Linked DNA regions of Canis lupus familiaris. The protein of the gene in region 2 purifies or fractionates together with the protein of the main gene of each other region. This does not show direct contact. Links are inferred from orthologs where the notes say so. Each region holds a gene or a part of one and is shown on either strand. Other genes may lie near its edges.

What was found.
Region 1: the proteins of USP15 (region 2) and SMAD4 purify together in Homo sapiens (affinity purification with western blotting; 4 studies listed by BioGRID). This does not show direct contact. The link is inferred for Canis lupus familiaris from reciprocal best matches to the Homo sapiens genes USP15 and SMAD4.
Region 3: the proteins of USP15 (region 2) and RNF40 purify together in Homo sapiens (affinity purification with mass spectrometry; 4 studies listed by BioGRID and IntAct, with this or other methods). This does not show direct contact. The link is inferred for Canis lupus familiaris from reciprocal best matches to the Homo sapiens genes USP15 and RNF40.

What each region holds. Positions count from the first base shown.
Region 1 is NC_049222.1:24,037,989-24,043,448, forward strand, and holds the start of SMAD4 (mothers against decapentaplegic homolog 4), read right to left. Parts: upstream 3,152-5,460; 5' UTR 3,108-3,151; intron 1,095-3,107; exon of another isoform or gene 930-1,094; intron 1-929. Other genes in the region: ELAC1 (zinc phosphodiesterase ELAC protein 1), read right to left, coding at 4,550-4,798. UniProt on the Homo sapiens protein: In muscle physiology, plays a central role in the balance between atrophy and hypertrophy. When recruited by MSTN, promotes atrophy response via phosphorylated SMAD2/4.
Region 2 is NC_049231.1:5,978,400-5,983,759, reverse strand, and holds part of USP15 (ubiquitin carboxyl-terminal hydrolase 15), read right to left. Parts: intron 4,824-5,360; coding exon 4,665-4,823; intron 4,586-4,664; coding exon 4,361-4,585; intron 1-4,360. UniProt on the Homo sapiens protein: Hydrolase that removes conjugated ubiquitin from target proteins and regulates various pathways such as the TGF-beta receptor signaling, NF-kappa-B and RNF41/NRDP1-PRKN pathways.
Region 3 is NC_049227.1:17,573,601-17,578,986, forward strand, and holds the start of RNF40 (E3 ubiquitin-protein ligase BRE1B), read right to left. Parts: upstream 3,386-5,386; 5' UTR 3,231-3,385; intron 3,122-3,230; 5' UTR 3,050-3,121; coding exon 2,918-3,049; intron 2,495-2,917; coding exon 2,327-2,494; intron 2,193-2,326; coding exon 2,051-2,192; intron 1,193-2,050; coding exon 986-1,192; intron 440-985; coding exon 318-439; intron 217-317; coding exon 70-216; intron 1-69. Other genes in the region: CCDC189 (coiled-coil domain-containing protein 189), read left to right, coding at 3,809-4,024, 4,556-4,587, 5,120-5,185, 5,348-5,386.

The DNA.
Region 1 (5,460 bases), on a different chromosome or scaffold from region 2:
GTTTTGTCATATTATGATGCAAGCAGTATCATACTGAAAGTTACTCAAATATCTACACATATTTATCAACTGTTTGAATTTCTTTTTAAAACAACCAAATCTTCATCAACTGTTGAGTAAAAAGCCCAAAATTTGGTAGTTTAACAGTTATATTATATTCTGTGTTACGCTGATCCAAGTCCTTTAACTTTCATTTAGTGTAGAAAATAATGAAATCAACGGAACTGTTTTAGTTGTTAGTTTTACACATGATTAAGCATCAATTCAGAGTCAACATTTCATCATCGCTTAAGCAAAACAAAAATTTCTGCCTAACCACACAATCTTCTAGAAAAAAAGGAAATCAAAACATGTACAATGAGCACCGAAACGGCCAACATAAGATGTTTAAAGCCTTGTTTACTATCAAAATCACTGGATGGAAGATGGGAAAAAGTTAGGCATGAGCTAGAGGGGAACAATATAGAACTGAAATAACTTTAAACATAAAAAAAGGTACTCAACAAAATAGGCAAAATTTTAGACAGGACTAAAAATGCGTTTTAAATGAACGGGACAGATCCTGCAGGGTTAAGAGCCCTAGTAGAGGCCACAGCAATTCACAGCTCAATTAGGATAGTGTCTAATGACGTTATAACACCAGCTCAATCAGAAAAAAACAGCTTCCAAGCCAGAGGGCTGGAGTGTGACTGGGCAGCATAAATTAGTTTAATGCTTTTTTCTCTTTAATATGGGGGGGGGGGGGTGTCTAAAGGGGAATGCAGAAAAACAATTCAGACACAAATAAACAGCTCAACCAAAATGTAGCCTCAGAATAAAACATACATAGGTTTTTAGAAGATTTGCTGCTTCGTAGTGTAAGCAGCATTGCTTCAAGCAGCAAAGCCATTAGAAAAGGCCAATGATCCATGTAAAAATTTCAAATTCACCTTCTCAGCCCAAATTTCCATCAAATCTCAAACTGACGTGCAATTCTTTTCTAAGCTCGAGATTTACAAGGCGGGCACTCAGCTAAACAGAGAAGCTTCCACTCAGGCCCTCCTACTCGGAAAATCAAAGAATTAAGAAGATGCAGTGCCTCTTCAAGCAACCTCACCCAAAAACCTGGAAAGCAAAGAAAAAGCCACTTCTATTAACAGACCCACGAAAGGTTCTATCCATTTTCTCTAGAAAGGCTCTTAGGTTTAATTCCGACAACTTAAACCTACACAATTCATCACCCCCTTTAGACCCCAAAACCCTGCGAGTCCTGTTGGTTCTGGTAACAAACCCGTTTAGGGAAACAAAGTCACAGCTCATGAAACAGCAGCAGGACGTCATATTTTAAGAGGTCAATCACATCATTTACAACTTGAAATGTCACATACTCGGCATATCAGAACTTTTCAGAAGAAAAAATAAGAAGTCCTTAACGGAAAAGTCCTCACGCCTCGGAGGCTCAGAGGCTCGCGGGCAACACGGCGCAGGTGCAGGAAGGCAGGCGCGGGCACCGCGGCCCACCCACCCAGCTGCGTCCTAAATCCCGTTACTTTTTCAAAGCGTGGATTTCCTTATTTCCTCTTAAGACTCCACGGTCTGTTCCAACAAAAACTACTCAACCTACTTTTTTAAGATCCACAGAGACTGCTGCTGAGACTCAAGGGGCGCTCCCTGAGAAGACTAGAGTGCTCCCTGCGAAGACTAGGGTGCTCCCTGCAAAGACTAGAGTGCTCCTTGCGGGGACTCAAGGGGGTGCTCCCCACGGAGACTCAAGAGGACACTCCCTGCAGGGACTCAAGGGGGTGCTCCCTGCGGGGACTCAAGGGGGCGCTCCCCACGGGGACTCAAGAGGACACTCAAGGAGGTGCTCCTCGCGGGGACTCAAGGGGGTGCTCCCTGCGAAGACTAGGGTGCTCCCTGTGGAGACTCAAGAGGACACTCCCTGCAGGGACCCAAGGGGGTGCTCCCTGCAGGGACTCAAAGGGGTGTTCCCTGCGGCAGGTCGGGGCCCCTACCGAGCCTCTGCACCCCAGCTCCTCCGCACCCTGGCTCGCGGTCAGGAGATGCCCAGGAGCCCGCTGCGCCGCGTCCACGACCCCGAAGGGCCCTCAGCCCCACCTCAGAGTACAGCGCAAAAGGCACCAAGGAACTGGGTCCAAAGTGAATTCATCGGAAATAAAATGTGTTCGTGAAAAAGAATCTTTCACCAGGGCTTTGGGGGGGGGGGGGGGAGGTGCTGCGCATCACCACCAGCAGAGCCGTCGGACACCTCTCCAGGCCCCCAAAGCCACCTTTCAAGTTAACCCAACACGCCCATTTCTTTGAAAAATCTTCCCTGAGAAATGATAACCTCAGTTTTGGGGGCAAGTGATGGAGCCACCGCCCTCCGTCCTAGAGCCTCGCGCCCAGCGCTCGCAGTCCCAGCAGCGGGAGAAACTGGGTCCTTGGGTTTTCATTGGGAGTGGGGTGGGGTGGGGTGGGGTGGGGTGGGGTGGGGGGCGGCCGGGAGCTGATTAGGGGAAGGATTGAGGGGTGGAGGGGTGGAAGGGTGGGGGGTGGAGGGATGGGGGGGTGAGAGGTGGAGTGGAGGGGCGGGGTGGAGAGGTGGAGGGATGGAGGCTGGGGGGGCGGCCGGGTGCTCATCAGGAGAGGGGGGAGGGATGGAGGGGTGCGGGGGAGGGGCGCGCGCAGGTCAGCGGGAGGGCTCCCCCCCGCCGCCCGCCCGCTCCCGAGCCGCGAGAGCGCCCAGCGCAGGCCGAGGCGAGCGCCGGAGCGGCCCCGGCAGGAAGGGAAAGTGGAGGACAAAGGCGGCACCGACGTGTCCCCGAGACGGGAAACTTCGGGCGCGCTCGGCGGGGGCGGCGGGCGCAAGTCCTCGGAGCAACAAAGACCGACGGCGACGGCAGGGGAGCCGCGGCGGGCGCGGGGGCGCGGAGGCGCGGGGGCGCTGGGCCCGGGACGCGAGGCGCGAGGCCCCCCGCCCCCCGGCCCCCGCCCCGCCCCCCGCGCACACGCACGCGCACGCGCACACGCACGCACCGGCCGCCCGAGCCCGCCCCGGGGCGGGGAAGCCCGGGGGTGGGGGGGCGCGGGCCCGGCCGGGGAAGGGGAGGGCACGGGGCCGTTACCTGGGCTCCGCCGCCGCCGCCGCCGCCGCCGCCGCCGCCGCCGCCGCCGCCGCCGCCGCCGCCGCCGCCGCCGCCGCCGCCGCCGCCGCCCGTCCGCGGGCCACCGCTCCCCCCGCGCCCCCGCCCCTCCTCGCCGCCGCCGCCGCCGCCGCCCGCCGGCCGCCTCGAGCTCCCGGGCCGCCCCGCGGGGGGGGCCCTCGGTCGCGGGGCGCCCGGCTCCCCTAGCCGCTCCCGCCGCCGGGCGGCCGCGCCGCTGAAGGACCGGCGGGCAAGGCCTCCCGAGGACGGCGCGCGGGCGCCAACGCGGGCCCCGCCACCCGAGCCGCTCCGCTAGCGCAGCGGCGACGACGACCAGGGCCGTGTTGTTGCTGCCAACTTGTCGGGAGGCCACGGAGCATGCGCGCACGGCGACCACATCCGGGTAACTGCAGGCCTCGGCCCGTGCCCCCGCAGCTCCCTCTCCCGCGGCCCCGCCCCCCGCGGAGCGCCGGCGGGGGGGTTGTGCGCAGGCGCGGGGCGCAGGCGCGATGCGCGGCCCGGCGGCGGGCGGCCCCGAGGGCGGACACCTGCCGGGCCCCCTCCCGGCTCCGCGGCGCGCGGACCGGCAGCCCGTGCGGGAGTGTGGCCGCGGGTCACGGAGGCCAGTGGACGGGGCTCGGGGGACACTGCGATGGGGGCGGCGCTCAAGGACCTGCCGCGCACCTGTTGAGGCCACCTGTGGGGCGAAACTCGGCTTCGCAGTGCATACCTACTTATCTCAACTTTTCCAAGATGCGCGCATTTCTTTTATTTTTAAAAGTTTCAGAAAACACGTACGAGTTGCATACTTTCGAATTTTTGTTTTATTTTTTACCACCTAGAAAAAACTTCCCCTGCCGGGGGTGGGGAGCCCGACGCAAGCTAGTGGCGAGGAAGCGCTCAGACCCTCCGTACGCCCGTCCCCGCGCCGGCCCCGCCCGCTGTCCCCACGGCGTCCCGGCCCCGCCCCCGCCCCGCCCCCGCCCCGCCCCCCCGTCCCTGCTCTCCACCCCCGTCCCCGCCCCCGTCCCCGTCCCCTCCCTGCTGTCCTCGCCCCGCTGTCCCCGCCCGTTCCCAAGCTGTCCTGCCTGGCTGTCCCCACGGTGTCCCCCCCTGCTATCCCCTCGGCATCCCGCCCGTTCCCGAGCTGCCCCCCCCCCCCGCACCACGGCAACCCGCACTCCTGCGTGTCCCGCCGCCGTCGTCTCCCGTGTTCCCTGCTCCTGGGTCCAGGAAGACTTTCCAAGACTAGTTTTAAGGGAATTCACTTAGAGAGCTCCCGTTGCTAGTGCACTACTTAACACAATGGCTCAGCTTGAGAAGTCACCTGAGGACAGAGCATCCTCTTCCAAAACTGTCATTCTCCCATCTGTCGGAATAAAGTGACATTCTCATGCAGGTGCATCAACTCAAGATGTATTTATTTACTTTTTTATTTTAGAGTAAGAGGGAATGTGGGGATGGGAGGGGAAGCAGAGGGAGAGAGAGAGAGAGAAGCCCAAGCGGACGACGTGTTGAGTGTGGGACCCGATGCGGGGCTCGACCCCACAACCCTGAGATGGTGACCTTAGCTGAAATCCAGTCGCGCGGGCACCCCGACTCCAGATGTAAAACCCCCAGGACAATTCAGAGGGACAATTCAAAAACTGGCGTCTGATGAAAGAGCGAGTGACCTGAATGAACGGGTTATAAATTCTTTGTGAGTCAGGTGGTTCCCAGTTCTTTGCTATCAGCAAAACTGAAGGAAGGTTTAACTGGGTGGTCGGGTACCAGAGCAGCAGGTGGCTCCTAAGTTCCTACTTCTACCTCAGACGGAGTTAAAAGTAACATGGCTCTCCGGCACCTGGGTGGCTCAGCTGGCTGAGCGTCTGACTCTTGATCGCAGCTTAGGTCTTTATCTCGGGGCCTGAGCTCCAGCCCCACCTACGCCACAGCAACACCCTTGTAACTGAGCCTCTTCGTTCCCATCCGTGTTACCTATTTCTTGCTGTGTAACGATTTGACCACACATTTAGCAGCTTAACACAACACGCATTTATTAGTTGACAGGTCGTATGGGTCGGGAGTTCAAGCGCGGCTTAGCTGGGTCCTCTGCAGGATCACAGGCCAGAGCTTGGCAGGGAAAGGAGGCGCCTCCAGACTGCCGGCTGCAGGACCCAAGGCCTTAGTCCCTTGCTCACTGTCAGCTGCAGGTGGCCCCCTCCCCAGGGAGGCTTACAGGATGGCAGTTGCCTCGTCAAAGCCACAAGGGGAGAGTCTCCATGTAACACACTGGTAACGACCATATGTGACATAACCATGTGTGCATGACCCCACACACCTAGTCACCTCTGCC
Region 2 (5,360 bases):
TGATGTGGGACTCAATCCCGGGACTCCAGGATCACACCCTGGGCCAAAGGCAGATGCTTAACCGCTGAGTCACCCAGGCGTCCCCCTGGCTGATAATGTCTATATGGATAATTTATCTTCGCCTTATCGTTCCTTCGCTCTTTGATTCCGAGACCCACACTTACATTCAACTGTAGTTCACTTCTTGCACCTTGTCATAAACTTGCCCCACCTCTGATATCTTAAACCTCTTATCAGGCTACTGACTGACAGCTAATTATTATTCCTGGAAACTCATTTTCCCATTCTTGGCTTGCATTTAGAATTCTAGTTTTAATTCTTAATTTTCTCTGGGTTTACCAGCTTCCTACTGTCTTCACGCCCTTCCATCCAGATCCCACAGGATCCATCACTTCAATACTCCACTGCAAAACGTTTAACTATTTTGTTATTCAATTTTATTCTTGCTATACTTTCTTGGAGCTGTTCAGATATGCTGGAGAAAACTGACCAATTTTAGAGACTGGTTTGCTACAAATCCACAGTGCTTAAATCTTAACAGATTGTTCAACACTAGCCAGAAATTCTGTGCATCCCTTATTTGCTTCTTCTTTCATTTTTCCCAGTAACTATATACAATCTTCACCATTCCTTAGGCTTCCTTATTTTACAATTTCTCCCTTCACTATCAGCAGAATACCAAAAAAAGTAGAGGCTACTGGATAGGAAAATATCCAACTTTGTGTCCCTGAACAAACTTCTAAAAGGTCCTTTTCTCCATCTTTTTTCTACACAGGGAAAGAGAATCAGATGTTACCCTTCCCATCTAAGGCTACCACTAGCATCTATGTTCTGATTCCCATCCTGTTCTACTTCCTTGGGAACCTAACCCAGGAATCATCCTTTATGTCATTTTACCTTGATTCTTACGTAAGCAATGGAATAATCTACTAGTCTCTCAAAAAACCCACAAAAACCAAAAAACAAAATGCAAAAACCCAGTCTCTCATTGCCTTCCCTCTGATAATCCCCCTCTAGTTATCTTCCTTTCTCCTCTGCTTTATAAATATAACCTTGTTAAAAGTAATGTCTATAATGACTATCTTAAATTCTTCACTTTCCATTCACTTATCAATCTACCCCTAGCTTTCTGTCCTCATCTATTTAACCTATTACCAAGGTTGTCAAACTCCTTTAGAGTTTTACCCTTCACCCCCTTCTTGATTCTATATGCTCTCTTTAAAGCAGGTGACAATATATTCTAATTTGCTTTGTCTCAGCCCTGGATGAACCTGCTGTCCTGGTAATATAATGATTAATAATGGCCCCTTTTATTTTTAAAAGAGTTCTAGTTTAGATGATACATTACAGAGTCACCCTAGCCTTAGGGAATCTCATCCTTCTAAGACATTCAGTATCATTGTCATAGAACTCACTGCCCAATTTCTATCTCAACCAGACATCTCTCTTCTAGTCTAGATAGATAAACTTAATGCTTACTGATAAGCTCTAATTTTCCTCATGCACCTCAACATGTCCAGTACTAAACATAGATTTAGGTCATGTTAGGGCAACATATCCAATATTACAACAGGCTTCTTCCTAAACCTTGCTTCCTATATATATCCCATTAAGGCAAATAGCACCAGTGTCTCCTCAGTTTTGCAACCCAAAAAACTTGGCATCATTTTTGAATACTCTTAAACATTTTTACTTTTTTTTTTTTTTTTTTACATTTTTACTTCTTATATTCAACTGATTCTTCTGTCACCCTGATACTAATCTTAAGAGTTCTAGTCATTTTCATTTGTCATGTGATCACTGCAAAACTCTCTTACATGGTCTTAGTATATCCGACCTAAGTTCTTCTAATCCAGTCTTTGCAGTAGCCTGGGTCTTCTTTCTCTAATAAAAATCTGGTCACATAGTGCTCTATTTAATAACCTTTAATGGCTCCCCTAATTTTTAGGATGAAGTCCAAATCTCCTATCTTGGCAGCAAAGTTCTTTATGAGCTTTGTGAGTTCTTCTGCTTACCATATTATCTACTTCTAATTTCCAGAAGTGGGCCATGTCGTCTTTTGCCTTTCGGTCTTTGTATATGCCACTCTGTTGGTCTACAATGCCTTTATTTCCAGCTTTCATACACTTAAAACCTAATCATCCTTCAGGATTCAACACAGGCATTGGCAGTTTGGGTGTATCATTCCTTTTGTATGTATATTCCTACAGCACTGCCACAGCATTTTTCACATTGTATGAAAAGGTTCTCAGGAACAAGAACCAGGAACATCTTTGTATTTCCAGCACTTTGCAGAGAATCAGAATCCAATACATAATACATGTTAGTACAATTACTAATAAACTTCTAAGACCTAAATCAACTTCACTGATGGGAAAACTCATCAAGTAGGTTAACTCAGCTAAATTTCCCTTTCCTTTCTAGCTGGTTAAGCATACCGTTAGCGAGCCTATCATTTTGTATTTGAGTTGTTACTTCTTTGAAGTAGAAAAAAAATGCCCGATTCCTTTATGCTAACCATGGCTCCGATCTCCACAAATCTGTATTTTTGGCCACCAAGTGAGAAAAGAGTTATACTAATGAAATTCATATTGCTGGAAAAATAATTTAAAACCCAAATTATGGGAGAACATTCAATACACGCCTACAGCTAATGTGAAATTTGAATGTGACCTGTCCCTATGTAATATAGCTTACTTTTGTATTATTGGCATAGGAGAGCACTGTCTTCAACAAATGTACTTTAGAGAATGTGAGCATATATTCCCCTGGCAAAAAATAAAAGCAGGCCCTCCTAGGCCCTACTCAATATTCTGAGTACTACTGAATGAAATATTGATATGAGACCATCAGGATCAGTGAGTTTGTAAAGGAAACATAAAGAAGGAGCAAAAGAAATAGGGGAAATTTACATTACTGAGGGCACGACTAGTCTTCACTAGACTTTAATTAGTTTGAATGAAAGGACTATACTTGTACTAGGAACACTTCATTTATAATGTTCTTGTGGACAGTAAACCCAAACACTTCCACCAAATTAATGGTAAGATCATAACTTTGTTCAAAAGCAGACCTTTCATACAGATCTCATGATATTGCTATTGGTTGAATTGTGTCCACTTAAAATTTATGTGTTGAAGCCCTAACCACCAATGTAATAATATTTGGAGATGGGGCTTTTGGGAGCTTTACATGAGATCAAAAAGGTGAACCTCCATGATGAGATTAGTGTCCTTATAAGGAGATGCTAGAGAGCTTGTGTGCTACAGGTATTCTCTCTCAACACACTGAGGATAGGGTTGCCTGTAAACCAGGAAAAGAGTCTGTACTAGATACCAACCATGCTAGTACTCTTGATTTTAGACTTCCAGCCTCCAGAATTATCAGAAGATAAATTTCTGTTGTTTAAATCCACTCAGTTTATATGGCATTTCATTAGAGCAGCCTGAGCAGACTAATACAACTATGCTCTAAGAAACTGCACTATCTGACTAGAACTCTGAGCTAAAGATCTTTAGTCAACAGTCCTCTAAAGCAGGAACCATGTCTGCTCTGTCTGCCAAACAGAGCTTTACATTCTCATTGGGTGCCCTACACATATTTGAATGAATATAATTTTTGAATACTTCTGCTTTAGTAGTACTACAAGTCAAGGGGGTTGGAAATACAATGATTTACAAAGTTCCTATCTTCAAAGAACTCACTAACAGAGAAAAGATAAGTAAACCAGGGGTCATAATAAAATTTGATAAATGTGATAACAACATTTCAGGGGCACTCAAAGTAGAAGAGTAAGGAACTACTTTTGTTAGGGTGGTTCAAGCGTCAGGAAATGATTAACTGATTAGTGAAGGAAGAAAATATAGTGCTTTGCTTAGAACATTATTGAAGCGAATATTTATAGCTGAATTAAATTTCTATTTCTCTTTTGAGTTCTTAAGATGCTTAAAAATTACAGGTATTTAAATATACCACTATCAAATCATGAATCAAAATGTATGGTATTAGTTTTACTTCCAACAGCCCACTAGAAAAAAACTTACAATTAACATTAAAGTTCAAGTTGGACAATAGGAAAAATCTTTGTTAGGCTCATATTTATCTTACCACTGCAAAATTGAACAACCTCTCATTTTTCTTTCATAAGAAAAAGACTGAGAATTTTGTTTTTATAAATAATGATAATTTATAAATCCCTCGCCATTTCAAGATTCTAAAAAGTTGTACTAATTCCCAAAGTATTTAGCTTGTAAAATCTCTTATATAAATAAACTTATTATTGAATTGTGCTTGAAGTACAAGGTCTCAACACTAAGTTTTTATAAAAGTAACAAATGCAAAGAAAATAATCATGACTTACCTGCATAGGTTTGGTAAGTGGATCCATTCTGACTAAATATACTTCCAAGGTACGTTCTTTTTTCATGGGCAATGGAAGTGTCAAGTAACAAAAAGGATCAAATGTTACTGAAATCTTAGCACATTCAGGACAAACTAAAGTTGATTTGAAAAGGCCGTGAAATATATCTACTATGATAGAATCATTTCTTTTTAAATGGTTTTCCCAGGCTTCTTCAGCAACTATCTGTAAGAAAACCAGACACATATTACACAAAGATATCACATTATTATAAAAGTGGTGACAATAATGACATTAAATTTACCTTATCTGGCCTTCCATCTGCATCTTTTAATTGTATATACGGTTTTTTCCTAATTCTATTCAAATCTTCATGTAATCCATCTAATAGGAAAGCTAAAAGCTCTTGACAGTCTTGCTGCTGGTATCCAGAAAACTGAGGTGCAAAACGTCCTACTTGGGTCTGTAAGAAAAGCAAAAGTATAAAATCAGTTATAGGGACAAGACTGATTTAAAAAAAAATTGATTCTCGGGAATCCCTGAGTGGCTCAGTGGTTTAGCGCCTGCTTTCAGCCCAGGGCATGATCCTGGAGACCCGGGATTGAGTCCCACATCGGGCTCCCTGCATGGAGCCTGCTTCCCCTCTGTCCGGGTCTCTGCCCCTCTCTCTCTCTCTCTCTCTCTCTCACAGAGAATAAATAAAATCTTAAAAAAAATAAAAAAATAAAAAAATTGATTCTCATCATTCATGGATTTCAATTTTGTGAATTCATGAACTGCTAAAATCAACTTGTAGCACTTTTGCAGTCATTGGCAGATATGGTAATTACACATACATAAATATAATTACATATCTAAATATACATATATTTTAAATATTTTATTTATTTATTCATGAGAGACACAGGGTAAGAGAGCAGAGACACAGGCAGAGGGAGAAGCAGGCTCCCTGCGGGGAGCCTGATGCGGGACCCAATCCCAGGACCCCGGGGTCACGCCC
Region 3 (5,386 bases), on a different chromosome or scaffold from region 2:
GTGGAGGAAAGAAGCGTGGGTTCCGAGTACTCAGCCGTGGCTCCATCTGACCCAGCAACCAAACCCCACCTGCTCCAAGGCCTCCGCCAGGTGTTTATTGAGCTTCTGCTCACGCTTGCGCAGCTTCTCGATGTCCCACTGCAGATCCTCCACTGTCGTCTCCATCTCCAGCACCTTGGTCTCTGCTGATGTCACTTTATCCTGGAGCTCAGAGTACTGGAGACAATGATCGGGTCAGATACTTAGAAGAGAGGACTTGGCTCCCTGAGAGCCTTGGTGCACATCTAACCCAAACCCTGCCCTGGTTGTAATCCCACCTCCAATGAGATGCGGTGGTGCTTCTCTTGTAGCTGGGTGGCCAAGTCCTGCAGCCGCCGGTTCTCACGACCCAACTCCCGGGTACGTGCCCGAGCCACCTCACCGGGGGGCTCACTGTCCCCTGAGAAGGCAGGGCTCGGGTAAGAGCCAAGTCCAGGGCAATGGGGCAAAGTACTAACTCATTCTGGAGTCTGCTATGTGCCCAGTGTGATCCACCAGCTGTCTTGCCAATTTCTCATGACAAAGCCAGGAGTCTTTATCCCCACTGCACAAAGGAGGAAACCAGCTCAGAGAGGAGAGCCATCTGCCCAGAATGCCCAGTCTAAAATGACAGGATGAGGGCTGTCAGCCTGCAAGGCCTAGACACTTACTACTATGCCTCATGAGTGAGCAACTGCAACCAAAATCTGTGCAAAGTGCTCCAAAGAGGTCTTCGGCTGGAAGACAGTGGCCCCTTAAGCATCAACAACTCCTCCCACCCAGCTCACTAGAACTCAACCCCGTGAATCAAAAGCAGAGCCCCCTCTACAACCTACACTTTTCCCTGAGAACGTGGCTGATTCATTCCTTGGAAAATTATGGCTGCCTCTGGGCTCAGGCATTTAGGGGATACAATGAAGACACAGACAGGGATAGACACCTCTGCGGTAGGACACACAAAACTAACCTCGGCTGTATACTCGCTGACAGAGTTCCTCCACTCGGCGCTGTAGGCGGTCTGAGGCCTCTACAACACGGGACACAGCTGCCTTGGAGAACTCCATTCGGCCCTGCAGCTGCAGCTCCACCTCCTCACTACTGCTTGCGCCCAGTGCTACCACAAAAGCCAAAGCTGGCTCACTGAGGGGGGGCCGCAGCTGCACTGGTAGGGGCTCTGCAAGGAATGGACAGACCCTCGTGAGAATCTCACGAGGGGACCAGCAGCAGTTACCACCACTCCATACCACGTTCTAGACCAAGCCCTTCGCCACTCAATGCTCAATGAACCAACACAAGCAATGCCTGTAATACACTGGTATTACATAACTACGGAGGTTCAGGGAGCTAAAATAATTTTAAGGCCACAGGACTTCCAAATCTTCCTCAGAGAAGCCTTTTCTGCCTTCTCTATCTAAATTAGAACCATACACATGAGTGCATATACACGAATTCTCTTTCAAGAGTCCCTATCCTTTTTATTCATGATTTAAAATCACTTTCTCTCTTGGGTGGATCCCTGGGTGGATCCCAGGGCGTGATGCTGAAGTCCCAGGACTGAGTCCCACATCAGGCTCCCTGCATGAAGCCTGCTTCTCCCTCTGCCTGAGTCTCTGCCTTTCTCTTGCTCTCTGTTTCTTTCATTAATAAATAAATAAAATCTTAAAAAACAAAAAACAAAAAACTTCCTCCCTGATGGCAGAGGCAAGATTTCTTATCTTTGTCTCTTCTGAAGCTGTTAACAGTACTACCTATGTAGATAACACAAGATACTGACAGTTTTTTGAACTAAATGAGTGTCAAATACGACATGCAATACGAACCAAGTCACTCAGATTTCAAAGCCTGGGGCCTTACCTAACACTGCACTTGCTGTCCAAACATCATGAAATCGTTGTGTGTGTGTGTGTGTGTGTGTGTGTGTGTGTGTGAAGGGTGGTGGGGAATTCAGTAGAGTAATATGAAAGTTCCCTCCACTCCAGGACCTTTCCCAGAACTTAATTAAGCTGCCCAGATCCTAGGGCTCTGGCCCTACCCCTCAGTTCCGATGTCCCTGGTTCTGTGAGAGGGGTCTCATCACGTGCTGGCCCCTCCTGGGTCCCAGGCGCATCTGTCCCTGAAGACAGCTCCCCCTGGCTCTCATGGTGTCGAAGAAGGGCTTCCACAGTTTCATCCAGCTGAAGGGAGAAAGCACCAAAAACGTTATGAATCTCTCAGGTGCTTCCCAGCATGATACTCCTTTCCCAGCAGAGTAGTCTGAGGATTGGCAGCTGGATCGAGGCCAGGTCTTGGAAAGCAGAGGGGCATCCACCTGGGCCCAGTAGCGATTGACAATGAGCAGTGTGGCATCATCTGTGGCCTGCCGCTTCTCCAGCTTCTCAATTCGTTCTCGGAGTTCATCTTCACAAGCCTGTCGCTGTTCCAATCGCTCTGCTAGTTTCTTGTTCTTGAACTGCAGAACCTTCAGGTCCATCTCCTCCTACCAAGAAAAACAAAGGGGCAGAGGAGAGGGTCAAATAGAGCCCAAGAAACCAGTCACAGAGAGAGGCAAAAGAGAGCAACTGGAATGGACACAGCAATGGTATCCCCAGACTAACCACTAACAGAATTTAAAGAGGTTCTGACACCCCCAGAGAAAGCATCTTGATTGTGAGGAGGGTCAAGTCCTGCTTTTGCCTCTAGCTCTCAAGTCTTTGACAACTCACACTCCCTTTGGGAACCTGTTTCCCTATCTGTAAAAGGAAGGCAGACGTCGTGTTCTCGGTTTCCTTCAACAGAGGATTCTGTAAAGTGGCTCCTGCTAAGCTTGGGGAGCTAGGATGTAAGGTTCTGGACGATCTGGGCGGAAACCAGAGATGGGGAGGCTGGCAAGTTGTGAGGACTGAGGCAGGAGCCCACGAACCGTAGAAGAGATGCCCCCAAGACGAATAGGCTCTATAAGCGTGGTCGTGGTCTTCTCCTCGCGGCTCAGCTTCTTCTCTGGGGGCCCTGAGCCCCCGTCGCCGGCGGCGCGTTTGTTGCCGGGTCCAGACATGGCCGCGGCGGCGAGGAGCGGCGCAGGGTCTCCCGAGGGACGTCAAGCAAGCGTAGGCAGCACTTCCGTCACCTGCAGAAGACAGAGAGCAGAGATGTGGAGGCGGCCACTGCTCCGCAGCTCCAAGCCTTCCCCGCACACACCTGATGGATCCCTCCCCCGCCAGCCCCGGGCCCCTCACCCGCAGCAGGCTCAGCCTAGCGCCATCTTGGACTTCACCGGACGTCACCGGCCTCCTCAGCCAAGAGCGCAAGCGCCGCAGGCAATGCCGGATGTGGCGAAACTTCATTTCCTGTTTCTATTGGTCGCGCTTTGTCCCGCCTCTCGGGTCTCCTTTGGTTTCTTCCTGAACACCTCCTCTCTCTCCCAGTGATTGGCCAGTAGACAGTTCCCGTGGCAACTGACACCACACTCACAACCCCTAGCTCTAAGGGCATCACCGGCATCCTGTTAGCCGCTTTGAAGCCAGGGCACCCAGACGGCGCCTGAAACTTATTGCGCATGTGCATTTCCTTCTCACTGATTGGCGAGCGTCCTACCCTTGCTCCCTCCCACCACGAGCTCCCTTAGCAACGGTCGCCGTTGAGACGGAGGGAGACGCCCCCTGCGGATTGGTTACACCGGCCTCTCTGCGGCGTAGATTGGCTGAGGCGTCGCTGGAGGGAGGGCTTGGCAGTCAGTCCCGGCCCCAGAACCGGCTTTCCCAGGACCCGGGCGGGACACAGCCTGTGGTGACCCGTGACGAGGAAGAGCGACGAGATGATCCGCCAGAAGTCTAGCCAATTCATGGGGCTGAAGATGCAGTCGGAGTTTGAACAGCCCTCCGAACTGCAGCGGGAACTCGAGAAGGACCTCAGCTCTATGGAGGAGTCCGTCACGCGGATAGCAACAGGTGTGCGGACCGAGTCCGGGACCGCGGCCGGCACCGCGGCCTCGGTAGCAGCGGATGAAGATCCTGCAGCCAACTTGTTCCCGGTGAGGGCGGGACAGAGTGGTCCGCTCATGTTTGTAGAAGGGCTTCCCGGCAGGGTGCCACCGTCCTTATGCTTTTTTTTTTTTTTTTAAGATTTTATTTATTTATTCATGATAGTCACACAGAGAGAGACAGAGAGGCAGAGACACAGGCAGAGGGAGAAGCAGGCTCCACGCAGGGAGCCCGACGCGGGATTCGATCCTGGGTCTCCAGGATTGTGCCCTGGGCCAAAGGCAGGCGCCAAACCGCTGCGCCACCCAGGGATCCCCCGTCCTTATGCTTATTAACGTTCAAGACGTTTCCTGGGTGCCTTGGTGAAGAGGCAGGGGTGTGTGACTCCGATTGTTAAATGCTCATGAATAGTAGTACTTACGGCCTTTTGAAGCCCGGCCTGCCAGCGTTGCTCATACATAACCTTTAACATGAGAAGGCAAGTTAGCAGGTTCTCAGGCCCGCTGGAGATTCCCGAAGGGTCAGGGACTGGGGCCATGGACAGCACGGCTCCGCCTGCCCAATCCGCTTTCTCTCCGCAGCCGCCGTTGCCCCAGCCCCGGATCTGCATGTGGTGAGTGTGAAGTCTTGGGGAAAAGTTACACTTTACACTTGGCATTACTCCTCCCCAACAGTCCTGTCAAACAGCTAGGGCATTCCCCATTGTACAGATGAGGAAACTGCAATTATCCAAGTTAAGTAGAGCCTTCCTGCCTCCCCAGGCCAAAGAAGGAGGGTGGGTGGGAAGGATAGAGCCAAAGACTAAGGATGTAAATGGAATATGGACTGCTATGGAGCACTGTATAAATGAAGACACTGAAGCCACATGGGGCGTGGAAGAGTCAAGAATTCAAGTTTCCTAATCCTCAGCTTTCTAAATGAAGAGGATTGTAAGAATTCGTTTAAGCCATATCCCTTATTTATTTATTTATTTTATATCCCTTATTTAAAGATGAAGAAAGTTATACCCAGAGAGGGTAGTGGAAGGGCTAATCTTCAAACTCAGGTCTCCTGGTTCCCAGTCCAGTGTTTTAGCCATCCTAGCCCTGTCATGAGACTAATGCCTGACGGCCACCAACACCTTTTCTCCTCTTTTCTTATTACAGGAAGTATTTGGACATCCACTCCATGCACAGGCTGGAGAAGACAGCCAACACTGAGGAGATGAGGGAGTATGGGGGGACACAGGGGCGAGCAGAGGAACTGGCTCCTGGGGGAGTCTAAGGGGGCTAGGCTGAGAAGGCATGAATGCCTGCCTCCAGAGCACATGGTGCACCAGTGTGGGGTGGTGAAGGGAGGCTACTTCAGTCCCTCCTTCCTGTCTCCCTCCCAAGGGTGCTAGCTGAGCTCTTGGGGCTAGGCTATCCTGAGCA